2 linked regions of the Arabidopsis thaliana genome follow. The protein of the gene in region 2 interacts with the protein of the main gene of each other region in a pairwise test. Each region holds a gene or a part of one and is shown on either strand. Other genes may lie near its edges.

Region 1 (4,249 bases), on a different chromosome or scaffold from region 2:
TCTAACGCAGACGCATCCTTTAAAACAACAAAGAGAAAGGGCACGCATGGATTCCAAGAAAGCAATCAACTTTCTCGAGGAACAAAAAAACCCATAATCCAAGGGACGAGAACGAATTTTGCAGATAAGAATAAGGGATAAAGTTGAGATTTTTATGGTAAAGGGTTCTCGTTATAAGAAAAAGACGAAATTGAGGCTCTGTTAACCTTTAATTTAGGGGAAGAAAGGTCAAAAAGAAGAAAACTTTTCTCTGCTTTTCTTCTTCTTGAAATTTGCGCTGAGGTTTACCACTTGGATTCCTTTAGTTTTTCTTGAGCTTTGCAACGGAGAAGGAAGAGAAGAGGAAGAAGAAGAAAGGATGTAGAAAGTGAAAGAGGAACAATTATTGCGTTATTGTTTAATATTCAGTGTGAAATAGACTTTTCTAAGTAGGCACGATCTACGGATTACAGACGCCTCTCTCTTTTACTCAAGTTTTTATTTTTGTTTGTATTCAGTTTCTATACCACAACGGCTCTAAAGGTTCTAAAGAAACTTACTTTAAAAAGATCTTAATCTTGCATCTTTTTTTTTTAACTTTTTTGTTTTTGGCACTAGAGGAGGAAGATGGACCACAATTCTGATTGGTTTGGTTTGGTTCTTGTATCAGAAAGTTGTTTGGTCTTGCTTGGTTATAAACTGGTTTAAAACCCCATTCACATGAATATGATAATCATACTTCGATGTCATTGTTGTCTTCACTAGCTTTAACATTCCCATTACCATAAGTTCAGTGAAGTAGAAGGATAACACGAGAAGCTAAGAGAAGAAACATAAGATTGAAAGTGATAACAACAAATCTGATTGGTGTATGTATCAAACACACGAATCTATATGCTACATGTGCCACATGAGTAGCTTCAAATTGGTTGCTCATGGTCAAAAATATGATCTCTTACAGTTAAAAATTACGAAACTCATCATCCACGAGTGGGAGTGGTTTTTCTAAGTTCAGTTTCCAGCTTTGCAGAACCGTCAGGCAAGTCATAGAATTCAGCTAAGTATGTCAAAGCTTCAAAGTTGTTGTTGCATACCTTCCACAGTGCAGAAACTTCTCCTTTAGAAACAGTTCCCAAGTTTTCACAAGTCTCAATGAATTCAAGCAGCTTTGAATAGAAAGCATCATAATTCATCACAATGAATGGAACCGGCAATGCAGATCCAATCCTTTCGAGCTGAATCAATGCCAAAATCTCAAACATCTCATCGAGCGTGCCAATGCCACCTGGAAGTGCAATTATCGCCGTCTTCTCAGATACATTGTTTCTAATCACAGCATCTACTAATCCATGCTTTCTCGCCGAGAAAAACCTAACATGGATTTTGCATTTTAGGGATCACTCATTCTTGTGCAAGCACAGTAAGTAATAACCAATGGTGTGTGGCTATGTTTACCTGCAAGTATGGTAATTCTGAGGAGGGAGATATGGATGAAACTTCGATGCGGTCCATTCACCGGCTTCTTTTTCTATTTTGATGCCACCGACCGGTTTCTCAGCTTCCAAAGCACCTTCAGTCACAGCATCCATAAGCCCTGGTCCAGCACCAGACCATGTAGTACAGTCCAACAGAGTTGCTGCCTGATAAAATACACAACTCTGAGAAATCTATATCTAAACTAAGCTCTTGTGGAGTGTTAAGGGTCTTACTTACTTCTCTGCTCAACTCTTGTGCTTGCAGATAATGTGAATGGTTTGGTGGGATTCTGGCGGAACCTAAGTACACAATGCCTCTCCCGAGCCTATGTACGAGGTCGAAGCAAATCTCAAGCTCTTTCTTAACCTTTCAAACAATGAGAATTCAACAGAATAAGTTGAGAATAACCTCTATCGAAATGGTCTTTCAAGGGGAAACTATCAGTACTTAAAAACCGAAATCTCCAAAGAAGATTAAAGATAAAGTGAAGTTTACTTCTTCATTCAATTGAACAAGAAAAAAGGCCAAGACTTTAACAGGAGATATCAGAATTTACGCTTGTTCTTGTGTTTCTAATTCTCTAAGGACTTGGCTATCTAAGCAAAGTCAAACTCTTTCTGCTGTGATGAACTTGTTCATGAAATTCTATTGCAAAGACTAGAAATGAGAACCAATTTAATGAAATTCTAACTCAGATTCGAAGCAGAGATTTTAGTATGTTACCTCAAATGGGCTACTTCTCTCAACAAAATCCTCAGACTTAACAGACCTGCACTTTAGAGCTCGAGCTGAATATGCCCTAATGGAATGATCAAACCTCAAATTCAGAGAAATTGGATCTCTTTCTGTCAAAGAGCTAGCGAGTTTTTGTGTTGGTGAAGGAGACATCTTCGAGGATAATCGGAAACTCCATGAGGAATCCAACATCGAAACCCCCATTTTCTGATTCTCACTTCCTTCAACTGGGTACCCAACAAAACTACTCTCAGGCTCTCTCAAATTGTCAATTTAAGATCTTGACAGACAAAAAGATTATATTTTTATCTCCGTTCAACTTCACCGGTAGCTCCATGACTATGCCCCACTCCAAAGCATAGGGCTTTTATCATTAACTAATAGAATCATTACACGTGGATTTCCTATTCCAACTGTTAAAATTGGATTTTGAGCATTGAGATTTGATTATTTCAGTAAAATTTATAATGCAAGTTAACAGTAAAATTTATAATGCAAGTTAACAGTAAAACACTGATCTATATTTTAAAGATTTGTTGTTGCAACTTGCAAGCTTTATACATTCAACACATGGTGGCACATGCAATCAAGCAATTAGCACCTAAACACAGCTTAAATAATCCCACTTAATATTTAAGACACATTCTTTTAATATCAACTACACAAAGAAAAGCAACCATTCTTCTATAACTTGAGTAAAGAAAAAAAAAGGGTCAACAATTTGGCTCTCTTGAAGAAATGGGATCAAAATTTCATGCTTTTATGTATCCATGGTTTGGTTTTGGTCATATGATTCCATATCTTCATTTAGCCAACAAACTAGCTGAGAAAGGTCATAGGGTCACTTTCTTCCTCCCCAAGAAAGCTCATAAGCAGCTCCAACCTCTCAATCTGTTCCCAGACAGCATTGTCTTTGAGCCTCTTACTCTCCCTCCTGTCGATGGTCTCCCTTTTGGCGCCGAGACAGCCTCGGATCTCCCAAACTCAACTAAGAAACCCATATTCGTTGCCATGGATCTCTTACGCGATCAGATCGAAGCAAAGGTCCGTGCTTTGAAACCAGATCTAATCTTTTTCGATTTTGTTCATTGGGTTCCAGAAATGGCAGAAGAGTTTGGAATAAAGAGTGTCAATTACCAGATCATATCGGCAGCTTGTGTAGCTATGGTTCTTGCACCTAGGGCTGAATTAGGGTTTCCTCCGCCGGATTATCCTTTATCCAAAGTGGCGTTACGTGGACATGAAGCTAACGTCTGTTCTCTCTTTGCGAATTCCCATGAGCTTTTCGGTCTGATCACCAAAGGCCTTAAGAACTGTGACGTCGTTTCCATAAGGACCTGCGTGGAACTTGAAGGTAAGCTATGCGGTTTCATCGAAAAAGAATGTCAAAAGAAACTTCTCTTAACCGGTCCAATGCTCCCTGAACCGCAAAATAAGAGTGGTAAATTTCTAGAAGACCGATGGAATCACTGGTTAAACGGATTTGAACCAGGGTCGGTAGTGTTTTGTGCGTTTGGCACTCAATTCTTTTTCGAGAAGGATCAATTTCAAGAATTCTGTTTAGGAATGGAGCTAATGGGTCTACCGTTTTTAATATCGGTTATGCCGCCAAAAGGCTCACCAACGGTTCAAGAAGCGTTACCAAAAGGATTCGAAGAACGGGTTAAAAAGCATGGAATCGTTTGGGAAGGATGGTTGGAACAACCTTTGATATTGTCTCATCCATCAGTAGGTTGCTTTGTGAACCATTGTGGCTTTGGTTCAATGTGGGAGTCTTTGGTTAGTGATTGTCAGATTGTGTTTATTCCACAATTGGCAGATCAAGTTCTCATCACAAGATTGTTGACTGAAGAACTCGAAGTCTCTGTGAAAGTGCAGAGAGAAGATTCCGGATGGTTCTCGAAAGAGGACTTGAGAGATACTGTTAAATCTGTGATGGATATAGATAGTGAGATTGGGAACTTAGTGAAGAGGAATCATAAGAAATTGAAAGAGACTTTAGTTAGTCCTGGATTGTTAAGTGGTTATGCTGATAAGTTTGTAGAAGCATTGGAGATTG
Region 2 (6,983 bases):
AAATATGCGATTTCTGTCTGATCCTCTCGCAAAATGGCATTGCAGAAGAAAATTAAATTAAAAACTAATAAAATGGAAATTCAAGTAAAAACAAGGTATTTTCATACAATTAGTTGTTTGGCACATCTAAGGCTCCTATGATTATGATTGGTGAAAGTCTTGGTGCATGAACTGAAATTCATATTTTTCATGGTCTAATCTTTGTTTATAGGTTCCTTTAAAAGACATATTAAGCATGTCCTAAAATCAAGACTGTTTTAACGTTTGTTTGTTAATGGCTTCGCAAAATCTAGGACGAGAAACCCTGAGTTTGTGTTGTTCATTAACCTCCAAGGAAAATGAACTGAAACTAAATTAATTAACTTCCGTTGATCCATAAATATGAGCATGTTGTAGTCGTATCCAAGATCACACTTGTCTGGTCTGTCAGTTTCTACTTTCTAGGTTTGATTCACATGGCTATTCCCATATGCAGGTTCCAAACCACAAGCCACGTGTTGTCCGTTGTGACACATAACAATAAGCCATCTTAACGAAAGACTTTAGATATATCAACTTGATTGAATACACATTTACATATAAAAAAAGTGGAATCTTTTTGTTACTAAATTAGTAAAATGCAAAATTCCGTATCGTATTGGAAAGCAATTTGCTCTGTAGGAAGCACATCAACAAGAGTAACACAGTTGTTTTTTCTTTTCTAACATTTTGTTCTGTACAAAACCTCTAATACTTAGGAGGCTAATATAGTTTACAATAATAGTCTTCCACTACTTTCTTTTTCTAACCAAACGATTTAAATTTATGCAGAATCTCAAAACCCCAAACCACATTATCTTTTCTTTTCTCTCTAGCTCTAGAGATACAGAATAAGAAGAAAAGAAAAGGGTTAAATATGATTACATTCTACAAGCTATTGCTCTCAACCGGTTGAGCCTGTAGGCCTCCTCCTCTGTCATCGTTCACCATCTTTTTTAGGGATCGGTATTGCAGCCGTACATTGTCTCCGCTTTCGACAATCTTTAATAGATACCTTTTATTGAAAAATATATGAGAATGGATTAGTTTGAGAATTGAACTCAACAACTCGCTTCACCTATCACGTATAGTTTTGTTTTCAGCTCTTATATATCATAGAGTAATACTTACCAGCCATTGAGACACTGAGATGTCACGATTGCTTCTTTTCCAACAAACTTTTCTGGAGTTCGCCGGTTTCCCTGCAATTGGAAATGTGTTCCATAACAAGCTAGAACCAAATTTTATCTGCTGGAAAAAATGCATCAGAACCAAAATGAAATGTAATGGCCTACCTTGATAAGAACTTTCTCATTTACAGCAAATGGATAATGCACCACTCGATGCATACCATCATCCGTAGCTGGATCTCCATTTTCCTGTAGAGAATTTGGGATCAAGTTGTAACTTGTATCAGATCTTCATCAACAACATAAGCTTAAGCTAACCAGAAAACAGATGATGATGCAGGCTGATAAGTTTGGAGATGGTAACTATGTAATCGGAAACCACCCACAAAAGCAATATGTAGAGCAGAGTCAGATCATCTCACCACATCCATTTGATCACTCATTTCTTTTCTACGCCTTCTCATGGCTGCGTTGTGGAAAAGTCGTTTATCATCCTGTTGCTTGATAGCTGAAGCGGCAGCTCTAAGTGCTATGTGTTCGACATTAGCAAAGAAATATGATTACTCGGTTAGGACTGTTTGTCAATGTGAAACCCGAAAAGACTATCGTGGATCAAATTATTTATTGAGGAGCACAGATAAGAAGATAATGAACTTTATCGGAATTACCATGGTTAGGAACCAGAGACCCAGACTCGATCTCTGTATTGCAGAGCGTACATCTAGACTGTGCATAAGATCATTGTGGTTACTAAATATTCTTGGGTATATAGGAAGAACCATCACATGAGACTAGCATATTAATAGAATCGAAGTAAACTAGTACCAACCATTTCAAGGACTCTTCTAAGCATAAGGCCACCAAATGAATGTCCACAAGAGACAACCATTGCATCTTCAAGAAAAGCACCACTAACATCAAAAGTTTGCAACAGACAAATTAGAACGTTTTTTTCACTGCACTGCCTTCGCAAAATTACAGCAACAGAATAAAAAGGTGGAAAACAATTGAACATATTATACAGCTCATGGAGCTAGTAACAAAATATGACTAAATAATGTCTTCAGTGTATGTCTACTATCTGGCACGGATGATTAGCTTTGGACCACTTGCTAAATCAGAATAGAAAACTACTTGAGGAGAAGTTTAGAAAAAGGGCTTGCCAGCACTCAAGAAAACCTAGCTAGGGTACTTTTTACGTGATCAGATTTAGCAATTCATCCAACTAACCATACTAAGAGAGGAGATTTATTCGTCATAGATAATATTATACACTAAGGAAAAAAATGGTACTCACGAAATTGGATCCGAGAGAACACTTCTTAAGGAAGGCTCTTTGCAAACATCATCCCGTGGAACCTGACATCAACAATTCATAAGACCTCGTGCTCTGAGCAGTTAACATCAAACAGAGAAACTTATATCATTATAGTATTGAGGTAGTGCCAATCATAAAACAGATCCAAAATAGTGAGATCCTCAAAAAGAGTAATATAAGTAGCACGTCCACTTATTAAAATCTCGATTGAGAGTATCTAAAAGAAAAAAATGCATGATCTGAAAGAATAGGAAAGACATATGACTTTTAAAACTCGTTCCTCAATACAATTTCTGCTGCAAATGTCAAGTAAAAAGGCAGATTTGGGTACTACAGATATCAATGTTTTATACGTTTAAATGTAATTCTACAATCTAGACAGCTAGTTTTACTACTGTAATAAAGGGTGAGCTTACATTGGTTTTCACAGGCGGATTAACTAGAGTGTCATTCTCGGCTAAGAGGTTATCCATAAACTGACTAACAGATACTGGCACATAGCTTTGAGGAATTACATGGCCGGCTGCTTCTATTGGGGAACAATCTAATATAGCATTACTTTTCGGCATAAGCCTAAAAGCTAATGATGCCCTGCAAGTGGAAAGAGTTAAAGTTTTAATCAAATATGTATGCATACATTCATGTCATAAGGTTTGTTAAGGAAAAGCTGTCATTAAGTTGTTGAGGAAAAGCTTATTTCGTCTTAAAAACATACCTTCCTCGAGTGTCAGTGGCAGACAAATGATCGGTAGTAGTTCTGTAAGAGGCAGCTGGACGGAGACCTGCAGTAGCATGACTAAGCGCTTTGCCGGTAATCAGTAAGAGATCACCCACCCCACATCCATTATCTGCTGTGTACCAACGACCATTTGGGTCACATACCTAAGGAAAGAAGAACTTTCAGAAGGAACAAAAAAATAAAAGCCAAATGTACTAAATGGAATAGTGTAATGAATCAAGCAAAATGGAAACTCAGGATTATGGCTGATCATGTCTAACTCATAGATAGTATTCTTACACAACTATTTCGTCCCTCGAAAGGATAAAATATGACACGTTTTCCCATCAAGTTTCTTAGCTAAAATAAAAGCATATATGTAACCTTCTACACACAAAAAGTTCAATAGAGGTTACCTGAATGCCAGTGCCATCTGAGCAGAACAGTGTCAACAAACCCTTCTCAACTTCAATCTTAGCAGATAGGTTCCCACCTCCAGAAGCATGTTTTCCATTTTGTATCGATGCATGAGCATAGGAAGCCAGTAGCACCGAGGAGGAAACCTCGTTCGGAGCTAGTGGAAAGTCATCAAGCATATGGTTAAAAACACTGCAAAAAAAGGAGATACGCTCATTGTATAAGTTAATAAAAGTAAAGAGACACAACAAGTATTAGTAAAAACAGAGAATAAGCATCATAACCATCCTACTCGCTTCTTAAACGTAGATGCCTTGCTATTGCAGATAAAGCAGCTCGTGCTACTTTACCCAAACACCTGAAAATCTCAGCCATGCATGGAGGTGAAGAATCTAAATCTTCAACAGACCTGTTCACAAGACAAAAATCACTCACTACACATCGTATAGATCAAGAACTGCTATAGTAACTAAAATCAAACCAATTTCTCAAATTCAAAAACGCAAAACCAATTCTTTCTACAAAAACCAAAACCAGAGAACAAAAATGTCGCAAAAGAGCTAACCTTCCGGCTCTATACATAGAGAGGCCACGATTGCCTTTACCAGAAACAGTAAGGCTTCTAGTTCTAAAATACAAACGAGCAGCTTCAAGGCCACATCGCATCAGTGCAGTGTCTTCACTCCCTATCTCGATCACAGACGCATTATACCTCATCAAAGACACAGACAAAGCCTCCACAGCTTTTGCATACACCGGAGAAGGAGCTCCTTCATAAGGCAAAATTTCAGATAATCGAACCCTAGCGAGAGGAGTCCCAGACATCATCAAAATAGGATCACCGGAAGGGTAAGCAGCAGAAATCGGCGAAACTGGAATCGCGTGAGATAAAGGAGACTTGGTTAAACCAGTAGGTACATCAGAAGCAATTGAAACGGCGGCGTTATAGTTTGAAGGCGTAATCGGAGACGAGCCCTGCCGGTGCATCGCCACTCCAATCAACCATATGTCTCTAGAGTTTTCCGATTCTGATTCAGTTGCCGGCGTCGGAAAAATGGATTGGAATAGTAACGTGTCTCGTTGAAGTCGTTGAGATCGTTGTTACAGAGAGGAATTGTGATTTTACTACTGTACGGAAACCTGACTGGTTTGAATTGGGTAGACGATGAGTAGTTAGGTTACAAATTGTAACCACGAAACGCCGTATAAGGGTATATCGCCGTCAATATAGTGGAGAATTGTGCCGGAAACGTTGGATTCGCCGGAGAATTGTAATTGTGAAAATTTCTAATGTAGTAGACTCTGGTTTTGAGTTTGTGTTAAAGGCTTTGTAATTTTACCTTTTTGGTCAAACTACCTACATATTCGAATTGGAAATGATTCACTAATTAATTTGATGTATTCTGGTAATAAATTATTACTTGGTGGCAAAATAATAATAATTTTACTTTTAGTTAATTTACATTTTTTTAAAAATTTACTACAGAACGCAATTAAATAAAACATGCGATGTAGCCAGGAAAATTGTCACTACACATAATTGTATGTATTGTAAGAAATTAAATTTAATTAATTGGTCAAAACTTAATTGAAAGATTAAATTTGAAAAATTGTGATGTAAGTTGCGATTATAAAACGTTATCTTAATACAAATCTTTTTAGTTTAGTAGCATTAATGTGTGGGCAATAATATAATCAATACTTAATGTAGTATATATTGACTAAAAAAGGGGATATAGGGGTGATGATGAATGAGGAATTGAGGATGTATGGGGGATGGTAAAGATGATGAGGATGTTTTACTTGTTAGTGGTTGTGGTGATGAGAAGAGAGGGATGCTTTTGAATTTTCATGATGAAGTTAAGAAGCATACGTTGATGATGTGAGTCATGATGTGTATCGTGATGTGACAACATCATCAATAATAGTAATTATGATAATGATGATATGATCTTTTTCTTATTTTATGAGAAAAGAAAAATAACCTCAAATTAATGATGATGTAGGACGTGGAGGTGGATGAGTGTGATGATAATGATGATGAAGATGAGCATTATCATTATGTGTTGTATAAAAAAGTATCACGATGCTCCAACATGATGTTGGTTTAAGTTTCCAACTAAAAAATATGTATTTTAAGGTGCTCTTATAATATTGGAGCAGGACTTGCTCAACTAGAAACCGGAAACTATAACTTATTTGATTATCATATGTCTAATAAAAATCATATAACTTGAAACAAAACTAAGTAAACAAACCCATGAAATTAATCAAGGAATGGTCCCAAAGCTACTTTTGTTTTGGGGGCAAAGCCAACTCAAAGGTCCCCAAACTGACATGAATGCCAAAACTAATACTTTTACAGATCACAAAGAGAGGAAGATTCACAAAGATGATTGAATTTCAACACATGGAGATATTTTACACAGAGAGTTCAAGTAAAGATTTGTGTCTACTTAATACACACATGTACATATATACTACCTGATTTGGACATCAAATATAGCAAAAACCTCGGTTTCTGCAGGCAACCATCACTGAAGAGCCTTCAAAATGAATTGATGACGATAAACGTAGAGACAAAACCTTTTGATTTCTTGGTTTAGCAGCTGCAAACCGGTCGATTTTTACTTGTAAATCCATTCATTTGCTCTTCCCCCTGTCGAATCCATGTCTATGAAAATGCTGACAGCCTGCATGAAGAGGAGAAACCATCCATGTCGATTTTTAAACTAGAAAAAACGATGTTAAAGTATCAAAGTGGTCTCTAATCGACCTAGGTGATCTAGCTAATATATGTCTGAATTTTAAGGTTACTGTTTTAGGTTGATCTCACCTTCCCTATCCGAGGTCGCTCCTTCGACTTTGCTAGGCTGCTACGGATATGTGAGACTGCTCCCCAGCATTTCAACATGTTGGCTACATCGTCAAGTCTAAGTATATATTCTTCTTCGGTTAGAGGAAAAGACCTCTAGGCGTTGAAGAAGAAGCAAGAAATATATAAAGGTGAATTAGCTTACAAGGATTGACTTGCAAAAGCAAGAACTATACCAACAAAATATGGATATACACTTCATCTTTCTATGTGGCAAAGATTCTCATACCAAATCTGAATGATATGGAAAACGAAGATCATAATTATCTAAAGTCCAAACAAGTACACTAAAATCAATTGAACTATCATATCATTAGGCTTCTGTGATCAAGTATACAGCAAAGGATTCTCTTACCTGTTCTCTGTACTTCCACATGACATTCATTGCAAGAAGATTCTTCCCCATGAACTCCTACATTAATCACATCTAAGAACTATGATTTATATTTTTAGCTTCTAAAGCGACAAATCTTTCCACATTGATAAAATAAAGCTCACACCAAAAAT

Evidence for each region.
Region 1: the proteins of AT3G19895 (region 2) and AT1G50575 interact in a two-hybrid assay, tested with the Arabidopsis thaliana proteins (one large-scale study listed by BioGRID).

What each region holds. Positions count from the first base shown.
Region 1 is NC_003070.9:18,727,903-18,732,151, forward strand, and holds AT1G50575 (Putative lysine decarboxylase family protein), read right to left. Parts: upstream 2,597-4,249; 5' UTR 2,395-2,596; coding exon 2,179-2,394; intron 1,822-2,178; coding exon 1,693-1,821; intron 1,620-1,692; coding exon 1,435-1,619; intron 1,351-1,434; coding exon 960-1,350; 3' UTR 732-959; downstream 1-731. Other genes in the region: AT1G50580 (UDP-Glycosyltransferase superfamily protein), read left to right, coding at 2,929-4,249.
Region 2 is NC_003074.8:6,916,624-6,923,606, forward strand, and holds AT3G19895 (RING/U-box superfamily protein), read right to left. Parts: upstream 4,978-6,983; 5' UTR 4,589-4,977; coding exon 4,167-4,588; intron 4,011-4,166; coding exon 3,894-4,010; intron 3,794-3,893; coding exon 3,601-3,793; intron 3,349-3,600; coding exon 3,182-3,348; intron 3,058-3,181; coding exon 2,883-3,057; intron 2,508-2,882; coding exon 2,446-2,507; intron 2,060-2,445; coding exon 1,978-2,059; intron 1,875-1,977; coding exon 1,817-1,874; intron 1,678-1,816; coding exon 1,571-1,677; intron 1,398-1,570; coding exon 1,314-1,397; intron 1,221-1,313; coding exon 1,150-1,220; intron 1,034-1,149; coding exon 907-1,033; 3' UTR 619-906; downstream 1-618. Other genes in the region: AT3G19900 (uncharacterized protein), read right to left, coding at 6,229-6,294, 6,438-6,572, 6,832-6,888.